Linked DNA regions of Cricetulus griseus. The protein of the gene in region 2 interacts with the protein of the main gene of each other region in a pairwise test. Links are inferred from orthologs where the notes say so. Each region holds a gene or a part of one and is shown on either strand. Other genes may lie near its edges.

What was found.
Region 1: the proteins of Kif2a (region 2) and Fam13c interact in binary tests that used the Homo sapiens proteins (3 or more experiments, as listed by UniProt). The two-hybrid records come from large-scale screens. The link is inferred for Cricetulus griseus from reciprocal best matches to the Homo sapiens genes KIF2A and FAM13C.
Region 3: the proteins of Kif2a (region 2) and Larp1b interact in binary tests that used the Homo sapiens proteins (3 or more experiments, as listed by UniProt). The two-hybrid records come from large-scale screens. The link is inferred for Cricetulus griseus from reciprocal best matches to the Homo sapiens genes KIF2A and LARP1B.
Region 4: the proteins of Kif2a (region 2) and Mrpl53 interact in binary tests that used the Homo sapiens proteins (3 or more experiments, as listed by UniProt). The two-hybrid records come from large-scale screens. The link is inferred for Cricetulus griseus from reciprocal best matches to the Homo sapiens genes KIF2A and MRPL53.

The regions. Positions count from the first base shown.
Region 1 is NW_023276806.1:267,183,426-267,189,313, forward strand, and holds part of Fam13c (protein FAM13C), read right to left. Parts: intron 3,892-5,888; coding exon 3,796-3,891; intron 2,597-3,795; coding exon 2,400-2,596; intron 1,198-2,399; coding exon 1,096-1,197; intron 1-1,095.
Region 2 is NC_048595.1:325,092,612-325,099,078, forward strand, and holds the start of Kif2a (kinesin-like protein KIF2A), read right to left. Parts: upstream 3,521-6,467; 5' UTR 3,434-3,520; coding exon 3,370-3,433; intron 1-3,369. UniProt on the Homo sapiens protein: Plus end-directed microtubule-dependent motor required for normal brain development. May regulate microtubule dynamics during axonal growth. Required for normal progression through mitosis. Required for normal congress of chromosomes at the metaphase plate.
Region 3 is NW_023276806.1:109,059,011-109,064,898, forward strand, and holds part of Larp1b (la-related protein 1B), read right to left. Parts: intron 3,963-5,888; coding exon 3,587-3,962; intron 1,100-3,586; exon of another isoform or gene 938-1,099; intron 1-937.
Region 4 is NC_048601.1:74,278,315-74,283,682, reverse strand, and holds Mrpl53 (39S ribosomal protein L53, mitochondrial), read right to left. Parts: upstream 2,337-5,368; 5' UTR 2,172-2,336; coding exon 2,080-2,171; intron 1,940-2,079; coding exon 1,827-1,939; intron 1,731-1,826; coding exon 1,576-1,730; 3' UTR 1,301-1,575; downstream 1-1,300. Other genes in the region: Ccdc142 (coiled-coil domain-containing protein 142), read right to left, coding at 2,859-3,169, 3,297-3,496, 3,619-3,796, 4,075-4,189.

The DNA.
Region 1 (5,888 bases), on a different chromosome or scaffold from region 2:
GTAACTTATTTTTCAGGCCCTGACTGTAGGGACTTGAAATCCAGAAACCAACTCAGATATTTCACTGATGAAAGATTCCAACTGAATAATTTAAAAAGGAACTTTAATGTAAGTCAGAAATGTACTCAAGCACCTAATCACCATATTACTTTGTTGAGCTACAAATTTCTCACCTAGGGAGCCCACTGCTAATGGACAGCCCTGGAAAAGCTATCCAACTGATGATACGAGCAGGCTAAGCTTGGATGTCTCAAAGTGCTTTAGCACAGTACCACTCCCTCGCAGCAGCCTGTGGGCTGAGATGCTGTCACAGCAAGGCATGAAAGAAAGGCAGGTGGGAAAATAAGCCCAAGCCAGTGTGTCAGTAGGAAGAACCACCCAGTTCCTCTCTGCACTTAAAAGCTCTGTGATTTGGGGAAAGTTACATGCTTGCTTATCCAAGGAGACAAAGCATTTCCGCTTATTGGTGTAAACAGAGACTGAGGACAGCTAAGTGATGTGTCTCTTCTCTAAAAGACACTAACATTCATTACCTGGTGACATATACACAGTTTTGTTGGTAACCCAGGAAAAATTACAGGAAATTAATAAGCGTATAGTAACAGCTGGGTTGACATAGAAAAACATAGGAAGACAGATGGTCCAACTAAATATTTTGGGGAGAGAAAAATAGCTATGAACTTTTGACTAAACCCTGGAATAAAACAAACAGGAGATAGGTGGTGAAGTTTAGAGGATATATTTAAAGGAGAAGTATTCATGTAACAGGTAGAAAATAACTTATGGAACTAAGAGTCTAAGAACAAGGACTGAAAATCAAGTCAATTTTTAAGCTTAGATAATTTCAGCAGATAGAAAACATTTTCAGAGTTCAGTTTTCATTTTGTAAAGACTGATGTTAATATCTGGCAGCTATTAACATAAATATCCCATAAAACATCCCTCACAATGTTACCATGGGGTATTGCATTGGGGAAAACACAGTCTTTAGCTAGGATTGACATCTCATCACTGTTAATACAAAAGCAGAGTTCATTCTGAACTATAGTTCTTTAGGAAATAATTAGCATAAAAAACCCTCTCTACTCAACTTACCTTCCTGTTTGTTTAAAAAATTGTTCTTCAAATTCTCGCAGGGCTTTCCGTAGCCTCTTCTTGTCAGCCCTAGTTTCTCGGAGATGGTCAAGAAGGACTGGCCTGTGTCAAGTGAAACACATTTGCATTACTGAGCACTGACCTGACTGACTGATCATGACTGAATTATGTCAGATCAGCAAAATGGGCCCATTATGACTGAAAAGTGATGATAGAAGGATTTTCTAAATGTGGCACACATTGTAAATGTGGCCTCAGTGTAGGAGCAGCACACAAGCCTAGTATTCCCTGACATTAACAGTGTCATGGGCACAGAGAAACAGTGTATTACATCTGCTGTTAAAAAAAAAGGGGGGGTAACAGTTATGGTGCTATACTAAGGATGACAGGATGGAGCAGACATCCAAGGAATACACACCAATGTTTGTTGACCAAGTATAGATAAGAGAGACACAAGAGGAAAAAAAAATATGTCCTTAGAGTGTGGGAAGAAGAACAAAACCATTGGGAATAAAACTGAACACCGACTTTATATACAGGCATTTTCTCTAAGTCAAATCTTATCAATCTCAAAAATGCCCACACCCACTGAAATTTAGGGATGGCTGTTTGACAACTACCACCCAAAGGTTGGAGAGAGTGAGAGCTCTCCACCAGGCTAAAAACTGCTTACTGTCCTTGGTTTTTTCCTTCATCTCCATTTGGGACACACACTAAGCAGAGTATATAAGGCTTGTTTAAAGAGGACCTCCTTAGTGTGGGATGTTACATACAAACCAAAAAGGTCATATGATCAAGAGATATGCCAACAACTGAAGAGTGATAATGGTAATGAAAATCCAGAAAGTTCTTAACTGAGAGTCATTAGGAGACAAAAGATCCATGCATTGACTGGGGGCCGAGGTTATTCCTGGTCTGGTACACTATGTCATCTGGATGTAACAAAGGAAGAAAAGAAAGGCTCTGGCCACTGTAGACCCACTGAGGATCTTACTCCTTTGGGTCCAGTATTCAAAGACCAGCTCTCCTTTGACACAGCTAAGGGTTACAAGGGTTAATAGTGCCAAGATTCAACAGGAAAGTAGGATCAAAGTAATTGCACATCAATCCTTAGGACAGATGTAGGACTTTACTGTGGGGTACCTCACGGCTCTGTCTTCTGTATTTTCCAGTTAGGCCACTTTCAGGTCTATTCTCTGCTAGAGAGCACATTTTAGGCTCTGAACAGATGTTGAGTTTTTAATGCCCAGGCAAGGTACCCAAGCCAGGAGTTTTAAGAGCCCACACTCGGGCTGCTCACTCACATGGTGGCCTCGTGTAAGTTGGACATGGAGAGAGCTGGTTGCTTCCCTTCTTTCTTCTCATCTGGTAGCAGGGTCCTCATAGGCTCTGTCTCAGAGTAGGTGAGGTGATCACCAACAGGAAGGCGGGACACTGGATCTGGTAAAGAAGGTGGCTGGCTTCTCTGTGGACAGTCTTCATCAGAGTCCTCTTCCTCCTGCTTGTCACAAGCAGAGTCAAAAAGTCACAAGGTGCTACATGTCTCTTGAGCATCTGAGAGGACTATAAGACCCTACAAGCCAGTAGACAGGTAGCCCACATGGCTGCTGAGAACTAGAATGGACACTACACCAAGAGCTGTTGCTCAGTTTCATTAATAACCTGTGGAAGTAAAAAGGTATCCGTGCTGAGCTACAGTGCTTCCCAAGTTTATCTATATCCACTGGGCCAAGGAAGACAAGCATTCAGGGTACAGCCCAAGTTGTACTGTGTGATCAAGTGGATCCTCCCAACCCCCAGACCTTCTGTATTCCAGCTTCACAGAAGAAATCCAGGTTAGGGCAGGGTGCACTACAGACACTTTATCCAGAAAATGTCCCACTCAGACCCAGAGCAGGCCACAGTCAATGCAGAGGATGCTAAGGATGTTCAGGTTCAGAAGGGCCCTTAGAAGGCCAAAGAAGCTGTAGTTACTCCTTTAACCTTTCTGGTTATTATGACAGACAAAAGGTTCTCTTGAAACCTGAAAGTCATATTCTCCTTTAAACTATTATTCGTCCTCAATTTTAGACAGAATTTTCCATTCTCCTAACATCCTTTAAAATACAAAATTATAAATATACTCAAGTAGATTTAATTTCATATTTATTTAAATTCTTATTTGCTGCTTTCTATGCTGATATCTTGAGTAGCCGTTTTGAAATTTATAAATTTATTTAAAATATAGCCCTACTGTTTCAGCACTTCTTTTTATTGACAAAATCTGCTTATATCTAGTATAGTGTGATCAGATGGAACCAAAACAATGTTTCAATATTTCAAAGACTGCAGCACCAGTTTTATTAACCACAACACATAACCGAGAGGCTCTTTCTTATTTAGCTGTGTTAACAATCAGACAGTGCCACACTGAAACCAATCATGTTTTTTCCTCACCCAAAAGGAGGGTCAAGAAATGAAATTAAATGTTGAATGGCCCCAAGCATGCCAGTTTGGTATGCTCTGTTTCACAGCAGTTCCTGTTAGAACACTGTTAAGTACAGCACTGGGCTAGGCAAGAGGACAGCAGCTGGTGGGATCATAGTATACTCAGCTAGGAAGGCCCCTTGGTAACATTCATGGTACTATGCTGTAGTGCTAACGAGCATAGATACAAGGTGCCAGTCAAGGTTTCCAGTTAGAGCAGCCATCTTTACTTACAATTGTTGGAATCAGGGACGGTGTTGACAGGATTTGCTTGATAATTCTGCATCGGTCATAAAGAGGCTTTATGAGGTTCTTGTCTTGTTTAGTTACCTGAAAAACATAAAATTAATCTGCCTTCTGTTCTCAGACAGTATTCTCCCTGCACCCACCATGTGTTGGGGACCCATTCCAGAACCTATACAAGTTAACCACCGAGCTGTAGTCCATTCCCTAAGACAATATTCCAGCAGACCCTCCCTCCCCAAAAAATCATTTTAACAGCAATGAGTAAAAAGGACATCACAAACAAGATGGCGTCTGTTGCACATCATATTTTTATGATTTTTTTTGGCCAGGAAAAAATTCCCATAGAGGATGGAGGTGAGTATAGAAAATTAGCTCATAAGGCTTTGTGGACGAGTCTACAAAACATGAGTAATAAGAAATGACTAACCAAGACCTATCTCCTTTTCTTCTGAGCATCTATGTTATCTGGACTTTTGTGATTACATTCACAAGTATTGGCTATGTCCAGGCCCCCATTATTACACACATAAGATAACATAATAACACATGCATACTGCCTTACTAGTTAGTTCTCATATAAACTCTAGGGAATGGAGATAAAACATTTGACTTTTGAATCCTCCATTTCCTACCCACACAACAGAGGGGTTAGAGTTCCCTCCAGGCTGTTCCACAGACAGACAGGAATTTCAGTTGGCTGGCCAAAGTTCCAGCTACTATGCCCAACCTCTTAGTGCACTAATGCATTCTGTGCCCATCTGCTGCAGGACTCATCCACACACGCCACTGTAGCAGGTCACGGTTCACATAAAAATGCAATGTCTCTCTCATCTGCTTGTCCACATATCTACCCAGAGTAGCCAAACCCATCTTTCTAGTCACCACCACCCCCCAAACACACACATACACAGTATACTGCTGCAGTCATGAATTTGCTCTATACCCATTCCATTCTCAACCAGTGGTTTATACTCATCAGGCAGGGGATGGGAGGAGAAAATTCACCAGTCACCCCCTGCAGAATGTGCTGCCTTCTAAATCTTCCAGAGACTTGAGACAAAAGAAAACAGCTTCCTGGTGACACATTTGATGTTCCACACCCATCACAGGTGCAAACCACACTGGTCCACGCTAATCTCCTTTCCTACAAACCTTTCTGTTCCATCGTCTGGACCTTAACTTTTCTGCTTCAGTCTAACCTGCCCAAATAAAAACTTATAACTCCTCACCAATATCTACCATATCCCTATTCTAACTGTTAAGTTCATAGGTAAAAACAACTCTAATTTTTAGCGCTCTCTCTCTCTCTCTCTCTCTCTCTCTCTCTCTCTCTCTCTCTCTCTCTCTCTCTGTGTGTGTGTGTGTGTGTGTGGTTTGGTTTATAAGACAGGGTTTCTCTATATAACAACAGGTTTGGCTGTCCTGGAACTCACTCTGTAGGCCAGGCCTTGACTTCACCGAGATCCATCCACCTTCCTCTGCCCCCTGAGTGCTGAGATGAAAGGCGTGCATCACCACAGCCTGGCTATATATGATCTTGTGTAAATATAAACATAAACCACAAGCTATAACCCCAGATAGACAATGTGCTGTAGAGGCCTTTAGTTTTAGTTGATCATCTTAAGGGCCTTTAATTTCCTAGGCAAATTCACTCTTTAGACATTTTCCTTAGCATCTTTAGACACACACACACACACACACACACACACACACACACACACACACACACGTGACACCAGCCCATATGTGTGCCTAAGGCATGGAGAAATATTGACGGGCCTTTGATTCCTAAAACTGAAAAACAATAGTTCCCTGTCCCTTCCTATCCAGAGAGAAAAATGTCAGTTTTGCTTAAAGGGAGGGAGTAACTATATTTAAAAATTCCTGTGCTTTTCTGAGAAAGAGGCCATGACAACAGTTCCAGGGAGAGAAAAGAAAACAAACACATGGATAAATCTGCTGGCATTATAGCAGCTTTTTCCTAAATAACCTCCTGACCGGGGCCAGAAAGAAAACATCTGGGCTGGCCACTTTGTGGTAGTTTGGAATGGCAGCTGCTCTCAAGGATGCAATACCACACC
Region 2 (6,467 bases):
TGACCCATGACGCAGTTTCCATTTGTATAAAATGAGAATTAAATCTTCCAAGATTTTTAGTTGAAATTTGAAACAATCCCATTAGGTAACACATCAACTAAGAGACCAATGCCACCTCAGCTGCACTTTTCAAATATTTACTATTTCTCAGCCATGCCCCTTTCTCCTTTAGGGAAGCCAGTCACTGTTACCACAGAATTTGTTTTAATAGTGCAGCTTTAAACAATTTTTTTCCAATACAGGCTATCTAACTATACATCTGTATAATTGTAGTTTTTTTTAGAGTCACTGAATCCTAAAACGGACCTAAATCAAGTAATATTAAGACATAAGCAAGAAAATGTGACTATTTTAAGAAACCATTCCAATCTCATACCAGTTTACCTGTGATTGGAAGCAACCACTGGAGTTTAAGCTAAATTCCTGCCATATCTAACCTTAGAATATCTAACCTTAGAATATTGGAGGGGGGGGCATAATAAAACAAAACAAAAAACTCAACCTGAGGACCCTAAACTAAGAGGCCACCAGGGAAGGGGAGTCACAGTGGGAAGGTGGTAGTACAGAAATGAGCAGACAGAGGGTTTTCTTTTCTGATAAAAGTTCAGATGGCTGGCTAATTAAAATAATGCAAGAACTGGTTCTCTCCTCCCATGATGAATATCCTGGAGTCTGAACTCAGGTCATCAGGCTGAACTTTTTTACCAGCCCTAACATAATGTTTGAAAACAAAAATCCACTAATGAGCAATGCACTCAACTGGTACCCACATGGGTGTGTGGGGTGATGCACATGTATTCAAGCAGTTTCTGAGGTCGTTAAGTATTTTAATCCTGTGACATCCTGGCTCTGGATGAAATGAGTGTATCTTTGAATGTATCTTTGATCATCTACTTAAGCCATGTAGTCTGAAAACTTATTAGGCAGTACAGTTCTAAATATCAGTGCTTAAGGAAATATGCTGTCTCATGAATGACATGACTTAGGATGACTTAAGAATTCAGAAGCCCACTGGTAGTCTGGTTTTAACCATCAGTGTAGACTTACTGGGATTAGAATCTTCAAACACACGAATAAGCCCATTCTGGTTTACAATTTGGCCTTTGGAATCTTTTACTATATAACTATTATTGATAGGAATTGCTTGTCAGGGACAAAGATCATGTATGCAACACAGTATTGCCCAGTTAACAGCAGGCTGAGTAGCCCTTCTTTTCTCCTATGATGTCACGTCTCAGGATATCAGTGGTAATTCAATCACAAGGCTTGTTTGTTTGTTCATTTATTTATTGCAATAACCACTGGTATTTTATATAATCACTGACCTGTTACAGAAGGGAACAAAAACACCCCCTTAAAGTGAAGAGGAAAAGCTTGAGGGAATCTTCTAGACATGAAATCCAACTGCAAAACAATTTGAATGCTAATTATTTCCTTTAAAGGTTACCCACTTTTCAGAGCTGAAGGTGAAGCTCAACTGGTGAATGCTTGATCCCCAGAACCTCATAAATTGGCACTCAGAAGGTGGAGGCAGGAGGCATTCAAGGTCCTCAGCTATAAAACAAGTTCAAGGCCAGCCTGAGACATAAGGTCTCCAAAAATAAGAGATTTTAAACGTTTTTAAAAGTTACCTACCTTTACCCTTTTGTATCCAAGGCACTTAAATATTTACAGCCTATAGGTTAGGGCAGTACACACTGTACTGACATTCACTACTTCTTGTGAAAAGTCACTTTTGAGAATGTTGTCTAGATTACTCTGACTTGGAATATAAAGCTGTTGTGTGTCAGAATTTCTGGTATAGGCTGAAACTAATGGCAGAAGGAATATTATAATCCTATATCCTAGAATCAACAAAGTACCAAAATTACTTCAAGTCCAATACACTTTAAAAAATGGCATCTCCAAAAAACTGTAACAGAAATCTCAATTGTCATGTTATTTTTGTGAAGGTTTCAGTTACCAGCCATAGTTAAGACTTGCAAAAACTTATATTTTATTATGCTTCCAAGTTTTAAGTTAACACATAAAGCCTATATATGTTGATATACAGCCAACCCACATTCACCAAAAAATAAAATGGCATGAAACAACATAATGATTACAAGAAAGTAATCTGCAGAGAAATAATAAAGCAAACCCTAATCCAAGTAAATGAAGCATCTCTTACCCCTTTGGTAACTTCTACAGCTCTACAAGTTTATTTTCTCATACACAAAATAGTGATGCTTCCAGTTACCACAAATTACCTCAAATGCAAAGATGGAGGGAAAAATCATTAACGATTCAGAGTCTTCCAAATACAAGTAACAGGAAATTCAATCTACTCACATCATTGACATAACCTGGTCGAATTTGGTAGAAACCAAGAAGTGGGTGACATAGCCATGCCGTTATTAGCTAGGGCATTAGAGGATGGTGAATAGGTCAAAAGTAAGTAAAAAGAATTGGTTATAAGGGAGATGCAATCAACAATCAACTCACAATTCTCGTTAATCCGTTTTTCCAATATTCGAATTAAGGAAAAACAGTTTCATTCATCCCCCCTGTACACATTATTTCCTTTACACTATAAATGACTTCTACTTTACACTTCGAAGTCAGTGACATAAAACATTTCCCCCCAAGAGGAACCCACAGAAACGTCTAAAAGCCTACGGGTCTCAAAAAAAAAAAAAAAAAAAAAAAAAAGAATTAAACATGTGTCTTCACCTCGCCTTACACTTTTCTCAGTTACGTCCCGAGGGTGTGAAAATATCAACATCCGGTCGCCCACCCCCACCCTCTCAGTGGTGCCTCGAGTGGACTTCGTCCACCCTCTCTCCATCCCTTTCAGTACCATCACCTTGGCGAACCGTATTGAGTATTTCTTTCCGTTGCTCCCCCACCCCTTTTCATGGCCGAGTGCAGCATTCTCTCTCTCTGCACCCTTCTCCCTGGACAGGGACGAGCAAAAAGGAAGGCAGCACGCTTGCAGAGGAGAGGCAGAGAGGCCTGACAACCGGGTAGCAGTTAAAAACAACCGGATGGCTGCCCAACGGCCTCTGGCTGGCAGTCGGGTCTCTCGGTGCCGAATCCCCCAGATCTTCACGCTCCCACCCTGGCCACGCCATCTATGCAGAGACCGGTAAAAGGCAGAGCCGGGGGGAGCGCGAGGCACGGTCATCTCTAACGGAGTCCCCGGGGAGGATGGTGAAGCCGGCCGGGAGCGGCCCCCGCCCGGCCCCCCGCATTGCAGCGGCGCCCGGGCGGACCCCACGCCCGCCTCACCCGCACAACGCCGCACACAAAAGCGCCAGGGCCGCCGCCTTCCCGCCCCCACAACCCCGCGGAGCAATCAAAAGGCTGGCCGGCCCCGGCGCGGCTCACCATCGCTGCGCTTGATTTCCACGTAAATCCCGATCTGGATCTTGCCGAAGTTGGCCGTTGCCATCACCTCATCCGGAGCGGCGGCAGCGGCGGCAGTGGCAGCGGGCGGGCGGAACAGGCGGGGAGGGGGCGGGATGGCGGCGGGCGGGGCAGCGGTGGCCCGCGGCCGCGCCGGCCCGGGAGGCAGCGTGAACTCGAGCGGGGGCCGGCGGCGAGCGGCGGCGGACGAACGGGCGGAGGCCCGGGCGCTGCGGGCGGGAGGCGGCGGCGGCGGGCGCGCGCACGCGGGCGTCGGTTGAAGCGAGGGCCGCAGCCGTGAGGCGCGCGCGGGGGAAGAATGGGAGGGCTCGCGCCGCCCGCCCGGACCGACGCTGGGGAGGCGGGGCGCCGCGCGCCTGCGCACTCACGGCCGCCCGCGTCTTCCTGCCCGGCGCCCGCGCGCTCGGGGCTGCAGGCGGCCCCGCCCAGCTCAGCTGCGGCCTGGAGGCGGCCGGTTCTAGCCCTCCCCGGGACGGGGGCGCGCGCGGCTCGGACCGGTACTAGCCCGCGCCGCGTCGGGTTCAGCGCGCGGCCGAGGGGGCGCGGGAAATCCACTCGCCATGCCACCCGGGGCGCGGGAAATCCACTCGCCATGCCACCCGGCGTCGCTTCGCCTTGACGCTGCGGGGGGAATGGGTTATGGGCCACGGGTTGTCGAGGCTTCTGGGCGCGCGGGGCTGAAGGGACCGGCCAATTACATGACCCATAGTGTATTTATGTGGGTGTCAGAACTGCGTGCCACTCTGAGGTGGCCGGCCCAAGTAACCTTCCTAAGGCCAAGGCATGCCTGATTCAGGCTTCCCATCCAGTTATGGAGGAAAGAAAAGGTGTCCTCCTCCCTAAGTGGGAATGAAGACCTTCTTCCTTTGCCCCTAATCTCCCAGTTCATTGTCATTCAAAGAGAAGCCCCCCGCTGTGTAACTTGTACTTAAGATCCTGCGGGCCTCTCCTGGTAGCCTATCGCTGCTGTAGCATCAAGATTTATTTGCCCTGCTCTATAATGCCAAAAGCTCTGACTTAAAACCAGAGCAGAGACTCGAATACGATTGAATAATGAGAGTTTTCTGCAGTCATCTGATTGAGCTGACTACATCAGCAACATGGAGAGTGCCAACACCTGCGTCTGCCAAGAAGAGGGGCAAGTGGACAAGAGACCATTGGAAAATTTTCAAAACCATTGTAAAAAGAACAAACCTGAGACTTAACTAGTATTGGGACTTCACGTGGAAGGAGTACATTTCCATGATCTACTTTCCCTGGTTGTTGTTAAACTGCCTATAATGATTAAAAATGCAGACTTAAGTTTCAAAAATTGGAAGCTGGATATATATGTGTAAATGCAACACAAGAAGCAGTGAATTCAAGTAACTCCTTAAAAAGAAGGTCTCTGTTCCTCTTAAAACCATGCCAAAAAAAAAAAAAAAAAGATAAACAATGTAGAAAAGACTTCTGCTTTTCTGTTCCAGAAATGACATCATAGGTCAGAACTTCTGTTTCAAAACAAGGTTAGACCAAATGAAGGTTCTGCTTCTGTCTTGTTTCTGTTTCTCTGTAGTAGTAGTTTTATACAACTCTGGGCTGCTGGATAGTAGGGCTCATTCTCTTATGTTTCTGTGCTAAGGTATAAAGTACCTGGTTATTTGCTTGCAAATTCTTTCAGGAAGGCAAAGAAATCCAATGTTACAGCTTCTAAATTTAAAGTTCCTTCATAAGATACTGGCTTATTATGACTGCTGACACATACCTTGCATCCTGTTGGTTATGTAATCAAGTCTTAACCTTTAATCCATATTACAAAGGTGTTCTAAAAATACATACATCTTGTTGCATAAAAAACGCCCAAGACACTTGACTAACCAAACACAAAAATCTTTCTGGATAAATCATACCCAACAGGCTGGTTTGGGGTATGGTTGGTCTAACATATGTATTTAACCAAGATTTGTATCAGGAGCTTTGTATTCACGTGTCTTTCAGAAGAGTAGCCATTAAAATACGCATCAATATATGTTTCCATCACATCCTGGAGAAAGGATTGTGATTCAACCACTATCAAAAACTATGACCCTAACAAGAACTACTAAACTAAACAACTAATAACAAATCTCTAAGATACATAATGCTGTAAGACTCTTGCTGGGAGTGTTGACACACACCTTTAAATCCAGCACTTGGGAAACACAAGTAGGCAGTCCTCTGTGAGACTAGCCTGGTCTACATAGTGAGTTCAGGCCATCTAGGGTTACATAATGAGACCCTGTCTCAAAAACAAAACAAAAATAAATGAGCTAATAAAACCTACTATTTTTGTCAGGATTATATAGAAAGCACCCCAGCATTTGCTTCATGAGCCAGTGTCTTCAATTGGTTGGTTACCCATTCGATCAACCTGGAAAAATAGCTTCCATTTGACCAATCATAGAGTTTTTATGACTGTAAGTGAAGTAAAGTGGGATAATGCTTTCATATTTAAATATAATACAAAGTTTTTAAAAGGTAGCACCATTCTATTTTTTTAATACTTAGGTTTTTCTCAAATTATTGACTAGAATTTTATGTCTAGTAATACAAAATTACAAGTTGACACTGGTCCTTACTATTTCAGGATAAGAGGATAATACCAGCTATGTAAATCTGTGTACTCACTTTGTCTACTCTGATCAGCCGATCCTGAAACGACAGGGTGGAAAAAAAATCTTGTTCAAGGATTGTTTCTTTCAGGTCAAATAATATGAAGAGTAACTGCTATTTACCTATCAGTTCTGTTTCAAAAAAATATACAGATTGGGGGACTGGAGAGATGGCTCAGCAGTTAAGAGCATTGCCTGCTCTTCCAGAGGACCCAGGTTCAATCCCCAGCATCCACATGGCAGTTCACAACTGTCTGTAGTTCCAGTCTCATAGGATCTGACACCCTCATACAGATATGCATTCCAGTAAAACATCAAAACACCAATGCACATAAAATATACTGCACATAAAGTTATTTACTGATTGTAATACAACTAATCCAATTACCTTAATCTTCATAGATAGAAAATAATCTATCTCTTTTAGTG
Region 3 (5,888 bases), on a different chromosome or scaffold from region 2:
CCCTGACCAACTAAACTAACCAATCTTTGTGCAGGAAATCTAACCAATTCCTGAGCAGAAAAACTCCCTGGGAAAATTCTGCCCCTAAGAAGCCCTATATAAACCCCTCTGTCTGTTCAGCCACTGGTTATTCTTTCCCACCCTGGCAGAGGCAGCCACTCTCCTGGACAACTCCTTCCCAAACAAATCTTTCTCAAAGAGTCTTGGTTGAAGATCTTCATTTACTAGTGCAGAATAGAAGAACTTGCTGGAACATTCCCTTTGTAGCAGAAAAGTAACAACTTTTTGCAGGAGCCGGAGGAGATTGCTACATTTCTGCAGGGACTTCCCCCAAAGAACTAAGAAGCGATTAGTTCTGCTAGGACGTTCCGCTTAGGGAAACTGAGCAGAGTGCAGCTGCAACTGCTCTGAGAAGAGGATTGCTATATCCTGCAGGAGACCATACCCCACTGCACCCCACTTCAGCTAGCCCGGCTTCCAGACAAGTCAGGATACCTCTCTCTCCAGGGCTGAACTGTTCCATTGTGGCTCCAGCTTCCAGAGCTAGCCTGTCTTCCAGGTAAGTCAGGACACCTTTGCTGCCCCAAAGCTGTAACAATCACACTAGCTAACATTTTGGTGCTCACATTTCCTTACAGCATGTATGAATGTTCACCATGTGTGCTTGGAACCCAAAGGGACAAGAATTGGGTTTTTGGAACTGAACCTATGTTCTTTGAAAGAGCAGCAGGTACTTTTAACTGCTGAGTCATCTCTATAGCCCCCAATCACTATACTTGGGCTTCAGGAATACACCTCTAGTGTAATTTTTTTTCCTTCTCTATTCTGTTTAAAACAACCAGTAAAATGTTCTGTTCCCTAGGGGAGGAAGTAAAAAGGCAAATTAAGTTTTTTCACTGAGAAACTATTTAGCTTTTTTTTTTTTTTTTTTTTAATTTAGGGGAGAGCATGCATACACTCCCCCACAACAACTTACACAGTAGAGTTTACTGAATTTTTGAGAACTTTCAGGGGTCAGCATATTTCAAATATAGTAGATGAGCCTTGATCTAGGAAACCTACATTCTTGACCATGGTCTCTTCCCTGCCAGGAAAGTATAGAATGTATTCTTTAAAGGCAATCATTTGATGATGAATGGACTCACTCATTAGAATCCCCAACTTTGGTGTCTGTCTTTTTTCCTGTTTTGGGTAGCTTCTGCAAGGTTGAACTCACCACCACCAATAAAATTCCACAAACAAGCTCCACCATCTCACTTTTCTAATCACTCACCTTGCAGACCTTTGGAGATTTTAAGATTTTTCATTTCACCATCTGTCATGTTCATGTGGCTATTTCACTGGTCTTTAGCAATAAAGATATGTGAGCCTATCCCTGCCACACCAGTTCAACACAGCTTCTGAAATCACCAATTCTTCATTAAAACTGTAGTATCATCTTGGCAGGCTCTGCACTCCTACTCAATCAACCATGGAGTTTCTGACACGCCTGAATCTTCTCTCTTATCCATCAAGGCTCGGATGTAGTTCTCATTTTCTTATTTCCTGTGCTACCAATTTAACTAAGCCTACCATTCTCCATCTCTTAGATAGAAAGCCTGTCTATTTTCTGTCCTATGGACCACATCGATCTTTTAAAAATAAAAATAGGTCAAGATCATGATGGAGAAATCTATGGAGACAGCTGAACCAAGTTTGTGGAAACTCATGAACTCTAGACCTACAACTATGGAGATTCCATATGTGGGAGACAGTTGTGAAGCTTGGACTATCAGAGGGGCCCCTGGCAGTAGGACTAAGATATAAATCTGGTACACCAGCTAGCTCATTTCCCATGGTGGGATGCCATGCTCAGTCTTAATACATGGAAGAGACTATGTTGACTCCTCATGGGACCCTTTACCCCAGTGAGGAGAAGTGGACTGATGGTGGGCAAGGGGGTGGGAGGGAGAACTGTAGTTGGAATGTAAAATGAAATCAAAAGTTTAAAAAAATGGAATAAATAAATAGAAATAGGATCATGTCACAGTGTATCTGTAAACCTGCACTTGAACTTTAAATTCCACACTATTTAACATGGTCTACAAATTCTATTCTAATCTGACTGTGTCTACACAAACATAATTACCTTCTTATACAGATATGGGCAAACTGGTATCTCACATTTGTCAGTTGTTCTTTTTCAGATCACTGATACTTCATTGACTCCTCTTCCTGGAATACTGTTTCCTGCTTTTTTGCACATTTCATTCTTACCTTTTCTGATTTCATCCTAACTTGACTCTTTTCAGAGGCCCATTCTGACTATCTAACCTGACATCAATATATTTATTCTTTTAGAACCAAGGACAGTGATTTCATCATGGAAATAGCCTCAATCATGCTAACGATCTACCACTGAGCCATACCCTCTTCTATTTTGATGCAGGGTCTTGTGAAATTGATCAGGCTACCCTTGAATTTGTTCTACTCCTACTGGCTTCTCCAAGAAACTGGGATTATACAGGCCTGTGTCCCAAGACCCAGCAATTAGTAGAATATATTTATATTTCTGCTACAAAAGTGATTTCAGATAGACATCACCTCTAGAAGCAAGCATCAGAAATAAAATTAACAGTGTGGGCAAGATGGCTCAGCAAGTAAGGGTGCTCGCTGTCAGGCCTGAGGACCTGAGTTCCATCCCCAGAACCTACATGGAAGGAAAAAAAAATCAACCTCCACACTTGCATTGAGATATGAGTGAATTTGTTCACATTTGTTCACACACACACACACACACACACACACACACACACACACACACACAGACACACACACACGAATGTGTTTTTATGAATAAAAACATTCTATCTAAACTTCATAAAAGCATACTTCCTTTCCCACAGTAGCAGGACAGGCAAAAAATGTCCAGGCTTCAAGGCATTTGACATGATACAGCTGAGGCAGTTTCTCTAAAAAGGCAGTGGCTAAAAGCAGTAGTGGAAATTCTAAGGAGATCACATCTCTTGTTCACAAGCCTGTGATAAGCAGTCCCCTCTGTTCAAACATTTGCTGGCAGCTTTTCTTTCTACAGCAGTTTCATTTCTAAGATCGCTCTCCTATGAGAGGTAACTCACCCTCACTGTTCCATCACTCACTGACATGTTTAACTTTTGAAGCCTCTCTGAAAAGTTTAACAGAAGAAAAAGACCCTGTTACATGCCTACAATTTAAAGACATTTGAAGGCCAGACAGCCATTCTGGTTCTTTCTTCTGCCTTAGCTTAACAATTAGGTAGAGGCCAGAATCTGTGGTAAAAGGGCAAGAGAATGGAACAAGCATATCCAGCAGGCCTGTCCATGCAACTTTTTTATTCCTTCATCAGAAATTATATTTTTCCACAAGTTTTAGTCATTAAATAATATTTTTTGATGATGATAGTATTATTATATCATCACTTAAAATTGTTCCTCAGTTTGTGACTATCAAATATATTTCTAAGAATTTTCAAATAGGGTATAATTTATTTATACTTGAGCATTTATGAAATTAACAAAACAAGCAATACCATACAATCAAAGCAAACTATCAGCAGAAAGATGCTCACCAGAAATCGTTACCTTTATGGCTGTGCGCAGGTTTTCACCTTCTGTCCATAGGTCCTGTTCATAGTAATACAGGCCATCATTAATCACTTCAGCAAGTTCTGATGTAATGTTTGCTGGTGATGTATGGGTGCCTGTTCGATCTCCTCCAGGGTGCTTTCTCATATAAGGTGGTGTCTGAGTTACAATCAAAATCTTGTTTAAATCTTGGTCATCAATTTCATAATCTGAATCATTATCAGACCAATCATTAAATGTCTTTTTCCTTCTGTCTGTCTGTTCCATCTCTTCATCAAACAAAAACTCACGTTCTTCTCGTTCTGGTTCTTCCAGAAAGGCTAGTTGACTTGATGTCTCTTCAAGTACAGACATTGATTTCTAAAGAAACAAAGTAGTTTTAAACATATACATACACATATCCGTGTATATATGTATACATGTACACATAATACATATACTTACACATGTATGCATGTATTTTTAAAAACTTTTTTCCTACATAAAAACTTAATAATTTTTTCTCTTAGGACAAACGTTGTATAAGAGTAGGCAAATTCTAATAGAAAGCTAAGCAGTATCATTCTGGCTTGACTGGAGAAAAACACAAGGTTGAATAAAAGGATTGATATAGACTCCCTAGATTTGGAGTGGCCCTAGATCATCTAAATCATGAGAAAGCAAGGCCTAGATATTAGAATTACTTCCTCTGAATTCAGAGAAACAAAGAATCAAAGTCTTTTAGGTTTAGAGTTAACAAGCTCTTCATGCCTGAGCCCTTGTATCTGACAATGCATGTATATATCTATATGCACAATGTGTGTGCCTGGCACCCACAGGTCAATTCTTCTGCTATCTGTATCTCCTGTGCAGCTGTTTTAATATATCTGCTTTAATGCTAAAATGTATACTCTGTACCTTGTGTTCAGATAAAGTAGCTATGGTTGGCACAACACACCCAAGTTTAGGGCTCTAGAGATCCTGCTGGCAGTGTCTAACATCTAGCCTAGCCTAAATCTTAGCACACCAAACACTTCTGCTTTGCTGCCACATGCCACTCTCTGATCCAATTTCATCTTCCAGTTCATGTTAATTCCATATGTCTAAAACAAAGCAATCCCTTTCTTTCAGATTCCTTAGTCATGTAGATCTATAGTCATTAAGTGACAATGTGAGACAGACAGTATTCTAGGAAAGCTGTCTACATGTGAATATATTTTATAAAATGCAGAACATGTGTGTCATATATATGTCTGATATATGCATATTTGTGTACACATGCATGTTTTGATTACCAATTGTTCTCCATCTTATTTTTGTTTTAATGATTACTAGTTCTTGAATTGTTTATGAGTGCTTTTCCTGCCTTTATATATGTATATACTATCTGTGTGCAGTGCCCGCATAGGCCAGAAAAGGGTATCATATCCCCTGGAACTATAGTTACAGATGATTATGAGCTACTATGTGGGTTCTGGATGTCAAACACAGGTCCTCTGCAAGAGTAGACAGTGTTAACTGTTGAGCCGTGGCTCCAGACCCCCCACTTCATTTTTTGAGATAGAGTTTCTCATTTAACCTAGAGGTTGAGGTTCTGGGTAGAGTGATCCTCCTGTTTCCATCTCCCAAGAACTAGGGTCATGGGTATACAACACCATGCCTTGCCTAACTTGTTTATTTATATATACCTTGTTTATTTAATGGGTGCCTTGCCTGAAGTACCCAAAGGACAAAAGAGGGCATCAGATCCCCTGGACTAGAGTTGAAGATAATTATGATTTGCTATGTGGGTGCTGGGAGTCAAACCTGTGTTCTCCTGGAAGAGCAAGTGTTCTTAGCCACTGAACCATCTCTCCATTTTGATTTTAGGGTCGGCCCTTGCTACATGGTCAGTCTGGGGGCAGAGTGGACTACATGAGATCCTGTCCCAAATAGTCTAGGGGTAGAGTTCATTGTTGGTTCGATATTCAGCAATGAGAAAACAAGAAAACTCGGGTCCAGCAAGATCATGCCTAACTTTTTACATGGTTCTAGAGATCCAAATCTGGAGAAGCAAGTACTTTATCAATGGAACCTTCTCCTTAGCCTAGCCTGAGAGAATACCCGAGAACTCCCACACCTATACAGTGACTCTCAACCATTTGTTAACTCCAGTTACAGAAGATACAATGCCCTTTTCTGGCCTTGGTAGGCACTGAATACATGTGGTGCATAAAGGTAGGCTATGAACCCATACACCTAAAAAAATAAGTAATAGCAGGTGGTAGTGATAGCACATACTTTTAATCTCAACACTCAGGATCTCCC
Region 4 (5,368 bases), on a different chromosome or scaffold from region 2:
AAGTTCCAGGACAGCCAGGGCCATACAGAGAAACCCTGTCTCAAAAAAACAAATGGAAGAAACAATATGTACCCAGTACTTGCAAATGCAAACACACACAGAGAGCAGTGCCTTTATGTTATAAAATATACATGGTTATTTGCTTAAAACTAAAGTTTCCTAAAAGAGCGTGGCTTGAATGGATAACTTTTTTTTTTCTTTTTTTTTTTTGGTTTTTTGAGACAAGGTTTCTCTGTGTAGCTTTGGAGCCTATTCTGGAACTCACTCTGTAGACCCGGCTGGCCTTGAACTCACAGAGATCCACCTGCTTCTGCCTCCCGAGTGCTAGAACTAAAGGCGTGAGCCACCACTGCCCAGCTTGAATGGATAACTTTTTATATCATTTAATCCTCTAAAATGATTTCGTGATCACATCAATGTCTGCCAGACTAAAAACTATTTCAGGTGCTATGAGAAATAAGCCATTATGTACTTGAAGGGTAAAATTAAGTACCAGCAAAAAATGATTAGGGAAAATGACACCAGGCAGGACAATGCAGGTGACACAGGAGAATGATGAGAATAGAAGGGTCTTGCTAAATAGACCAGGCTGGCCCCCTGAGTAGCTGGGATGGCCTGTGCTACCAGGTGGGGCTGATCCCATTTTAAGGAAAGAATGTTGGTAGCATATGCAGGAAGTTGGTAGTAGGTAACCATAGAAGTTGGGATTAAAACTAAACAGAAATGTAGGATCTAAGTCCAGAGTAGTTTAATTATGACAAATGAGTAGCTTTGTGATGGTTTTAGGGAATGGCTGCCATAGATTCATGTATTTGAATGCTTGGCCCTATTAGTAGGTGGAGGAAGTGTGTTGTAATCTCTTCCTACTGCCTGTGGATCAAGATGTAGAACTCTCAGCAACTTCTACAGTACCCTGTCTGCCTGTGTGGCAACATATTTCCTACCACGATGATAAATAATGGACCTCAGAAACTGTAAGCCAGCCCCAATTGAATGTCTTTTCTTTGTAAGAGTTGCCTTGGCCATGGCGTATCCATAAATAGAAACCCAAACTGACAGATTCTTTATGAGAGTAAGCAAAAACTATTAAAGATATACAAAGAGTAGACAAACTAAGTAAGAAAGATGAGGTATGAAGCCTGGTGTGATGATGCATGTCTATAATCCGGGCACTCAGGAGCCTTGAAACCAGGAGAATCCTTTCAAATTTCTAGTTCACCTTAGTTTACTAGCAAGTTTCAGGTCAGCTCATGACACGAGTCTGTCTCTACGAACCAAGCAAACAACCCGAGAAAAAGAATTCATTTGGTAATAAATATTTAATTAAAGGATACTTGGGTGATAAGTGAAGCCAAACTCAAATATGGTTAAGCAGCGAGGGAAGAGGAGAAAGAAAAATTCAAATTTGTCCAGACCCTCCATCACCTAACCTTACTTATCTTGCCCCCAAAGCACGGGTAGGTGTCAGTCTGTTCGTGACCTTCGCGTAACCTTCGAGTGATTAAGCCCAGCCTTCTCTTAGACAGCAGTCTTTTCGTTCCAAGCTAACATTTGGTTGTTATGTCCTCTGCAGTGTCAGCGCCGGGTACCATTAACTGGGCCGGGCTTGTCTGCGTTGGCCGCTGCGGATGCTGCCGCTGCGTTTCTGGCCCGGATGTGGGAGGCCAAGGCAGTGAACATTTCCTGAGCGGTGAGGTTAGCGCTGCGCATAATCAGCCGATAGCCATCTCCTAAGAAGATGCAAAGCGACGAGTCAGAGACCCGGAGTCCGCAGCGCAGGGCTCCGCTGCCGCCCGCCCGCCCGCCGGCCCCCCAGCCAGGCCTACCGAATAACACGTCCACGCAGGGCTCGGAGCCGTCGTGCCTCACGTCGGCGACCACCGAACAGTTGAGGTTTGTGGCACGCACTTTCTCGCTGCTCACCGCCTGGAGAAACGTCCTACGGTGGGAGGGCAGCGTGAGCGCGCCCGGGGACCAAGGGGCGTGCACGAGGCAGGGAGGGCCGGTCCGAGCAGCTTGGCACTCCGGCAGGGGGTCGACCGTGAGCGAGCCCCCCATCCCCACCCCCAGAACACGAACCTTGTCGACTCCACGTTCTTCTCAAACGGGCAGAACTGAACTCGAACCAGCTTGACCGGCTTCAGTCCGACGCGAGCCAAAGCCGACGCCATGGTTACCTCTGCTCCGGAAGTAGTGCTGGGGATCGCTTTATTGGAACGGACCGCTTCCGGCGGCCTCTGCGCGACTTGTAGCGGCTGTCCTCCCGGGCCGCCAAGGGACCCAGAGTGGGCGGTCCGCAAATACTTCAGCAATTAGCCATACCCTGTGCCACACACAGCGTAGACGGTGAATGTGCAAAAACCCCTTTTGCACGAAAACACGTCTCCTGCAGCTTTCCCGCTTCAGTGTCCTGCCGGCTAGATCTAGGTCAGCACCATCCTAAATCCTGGCTCCTTCCAATGAGGATTGTCCGCCCACCAGGAAGCAAGCCCACCCTGGCAGCTGAACGGCCAACGCTTAATGTTGTCAAGGTCCTACAGCCTAATGACTAAAAATAAAGACGGGGAAGCCTTGTTCCTGGGATTCAAGAGAAAGCATGTAGCTTGCTTCTGTCTCCTGAGAATCAACCCTGTAGACTAGCTATTTCTAGCTCTTGTCTCCACTGTTGCCAACTTTCAGATTTCGGGCTCTGGTTTGCCCCTTACTCTGGATTGCAGGTACTAGGGTGATCGTGGATTCAATTCCAGACGGTGTAGTTTATGTACGTGTTCTTCCAAGCTCCCCGTTTTAAGCCTAACATACAGTTCCTTGACTGGGGCTTAACAGACCATGATTTGCAACTCCTGATCCTAGGCAACTTAGGGCTCAGGACTTGTCCCCAGGCAGGAAAGAAAGGGCAGGTGCCAACGAGGGTGCTGGTGCAGCCTCAGGGCAAGCCAGGCCTGCTGGTTTCCAGCCAGGTAAGCTTCAGGACTAGGTCCTCCTCCTCCTCCTCTTCCTGCTCCTCCTCCTCCTGCTGCTCCTTCTGTTCCTCCTCCTCCTTCCAGAGTGCTTAGCAGGAGCATGTTCTGGGCTGGGGAGAGTCCAGGCCGGAGAGGGGGAGCCAAGCTTTCCAGGCTGTTGAGGCTGCTGGTGGGCAGTTCAGTGGTCTGGACTTCATTACAAAAACCTGGAAAGGCAGAAGTGGAAGGCAGGTTGGTGGGTGATGCTGAAAGTCAGTGGTGAGATGGGAGTCTCTTAAAGCAGTGATGGAGGGACTTGGGTAAACCTGGGGTTGGAGAGGGGTAATGACTCACAGCAACAGGGAGGCCTTCTGTGGACTGGACTCTTGGGCAGGGGCTGCTGCAGGAGACACAGCAGGGCCCCATCTAGCCGCTGGAAGATGCTGAGTGACAGCAGAGTCTGACGAAGCTCCCGGGACAGGCCCCACTGCTCCTGTTCCAGGACCTCCCTGACCACTCCGAAGTCTTGTTTGAGCTGCAGCGCCCCCTGCAGGCTAGATGTCCAGGTACAATGTGGCCACCTGACATTTCTGCCTCCCCACACTGCTCTACCCAAAAGTTCTCCATTTTTCCCTGTTGACATTCTCCCGCTGCCACGACCATCTTTCCTTCCCACCTGAACCGGATCCCATGGGTGAGGATGTGATCAAGCCAGGCACCCAGTATGGCTGTTAGTGCCTGGCTGAGGGCGGGGGCTTGGGCTTCGGGTGACAATCCCTGCAGTCCTCGCAGCACGGGCTCCAACACAGTGTAGACCACCATCCCTGCATACTCGCTAGGAGCACTGGGATGTTCTGGGGTGACAGAAGAGAAAGGAAAGACTGTGAGACTATGGAAATCCAATGGGCACCAGAGAGAAGGGCACAGAAGGTGCAAGGATGGTGACCAATGGGGAGGGCTTGAACCAGTCACACACTGGGAACCCCTGGAAGGAGAAGATGGGCATGGGAAGTTACGGAGACGGTGGGCTGGTGGGGTGGGGGGGGGTGTGTAGTTCAGTCAGTAAGGCTTGCTTGCCTAGCATGTGTGAAATCCCGGGTTTCATCCCCAGCACTACAGAAAGAAAAATTACCGGGACTTAGTCGAAGCCGCCAGTATCGACCCTTTGGCATGTGGAGCTTGAAGCCCTGTGTGGCTTGTTTATGGCATTCTTGGAAAAAGAGACTCAGCGACTCTTCAGGCAGGAGCTGTATAAAGAAGAGGAAATTGAGAAGGGCTCGACTGTTAGACTGATAAGATGGTGCCTCTCCCATCTGAGGCCTCAATGTGGCGTCTGTAAAACCCTGAATCCATGCATCACTGTGGGAGCCTGGGCATTTTCTAAGGAGAAGTGTCACCCCTTTAACTGAGTTTTCCAGGTCTGGACTCAAACTCTGCACAATACATAGGATTACCAGTTCTTGGTAGTCAAAGGCACATGACAAGTCAGGCGTGTTGAGCATGTGCCTGTGTGGATATTCCTTTACACTGTGTGAATATATGTCACAAACCCACTGTGATTGCTTTAACAAAGCAAAGGAACTGCATGAAAACTCTGTGGCCACACAGAGAGAAAATGAAAAGAACCTCATATCCTATATATTCCACAGTAGGAAGCAATAGTGTGCAAAGTGAGACAGAATTAAGACAGAATAGCTTCATCAGTAAATATAGAAGGAAATCATATACAATAAGAGAGACTGATGGCATAGCTTGCTGGCACTGGAGCTTACCTAGCACACATGAAACCCAGGCATAATCTAGAGAGAGGGGAGAAGAAACAGCTAACCACAGATGGAAGGTGGAATTGTTCTCATTAGAGGCCTTAAAAAAATATTGTGTGTGTGTGTGTGTGTGTGTGTGTGTGTGTTGGTATGCTTACATATATAGAAAACAACTCTCTACCCCACATGGGTCCTGGAGATCAAATTCAGGTTGTCAGACTTGGCAGCAAGAACCTTTAACTAATGGACCATTTTGCTGCTTCCTTTCCCATTCATAATTGCAAAGAAAGGCTTGATGCAAACGGTCAGCAAATGCTTTACTGCCTAGCTACAGCCCCAGTTTACAGTTCACTTTTTTTTCCCCCTGAGACAGCCTTAGCTGTCCTGGAACTCACTCTGTTGACCAGGCTGGACTCAAACTCAGAGATCTGCCTGCCTCTGCCTCCTAAGTGCTGGGATCAAAGGCTTTTGTCACTATTGTCCATCTACATTTCACTTTTTAAACTGTAGACATGTACTACTTCAATAAAACTATAAAGAAGCAGAGGCAGGCCGGGAGTTGGTGGTACACACCTTTAATTCCAGCACTCAGGAGACAGAGGCGGGCGGATCTCTGTGAGTTTGAGGCCAGCCTGGTCTCCAGAGTGAGGGCAAGGATAGGCT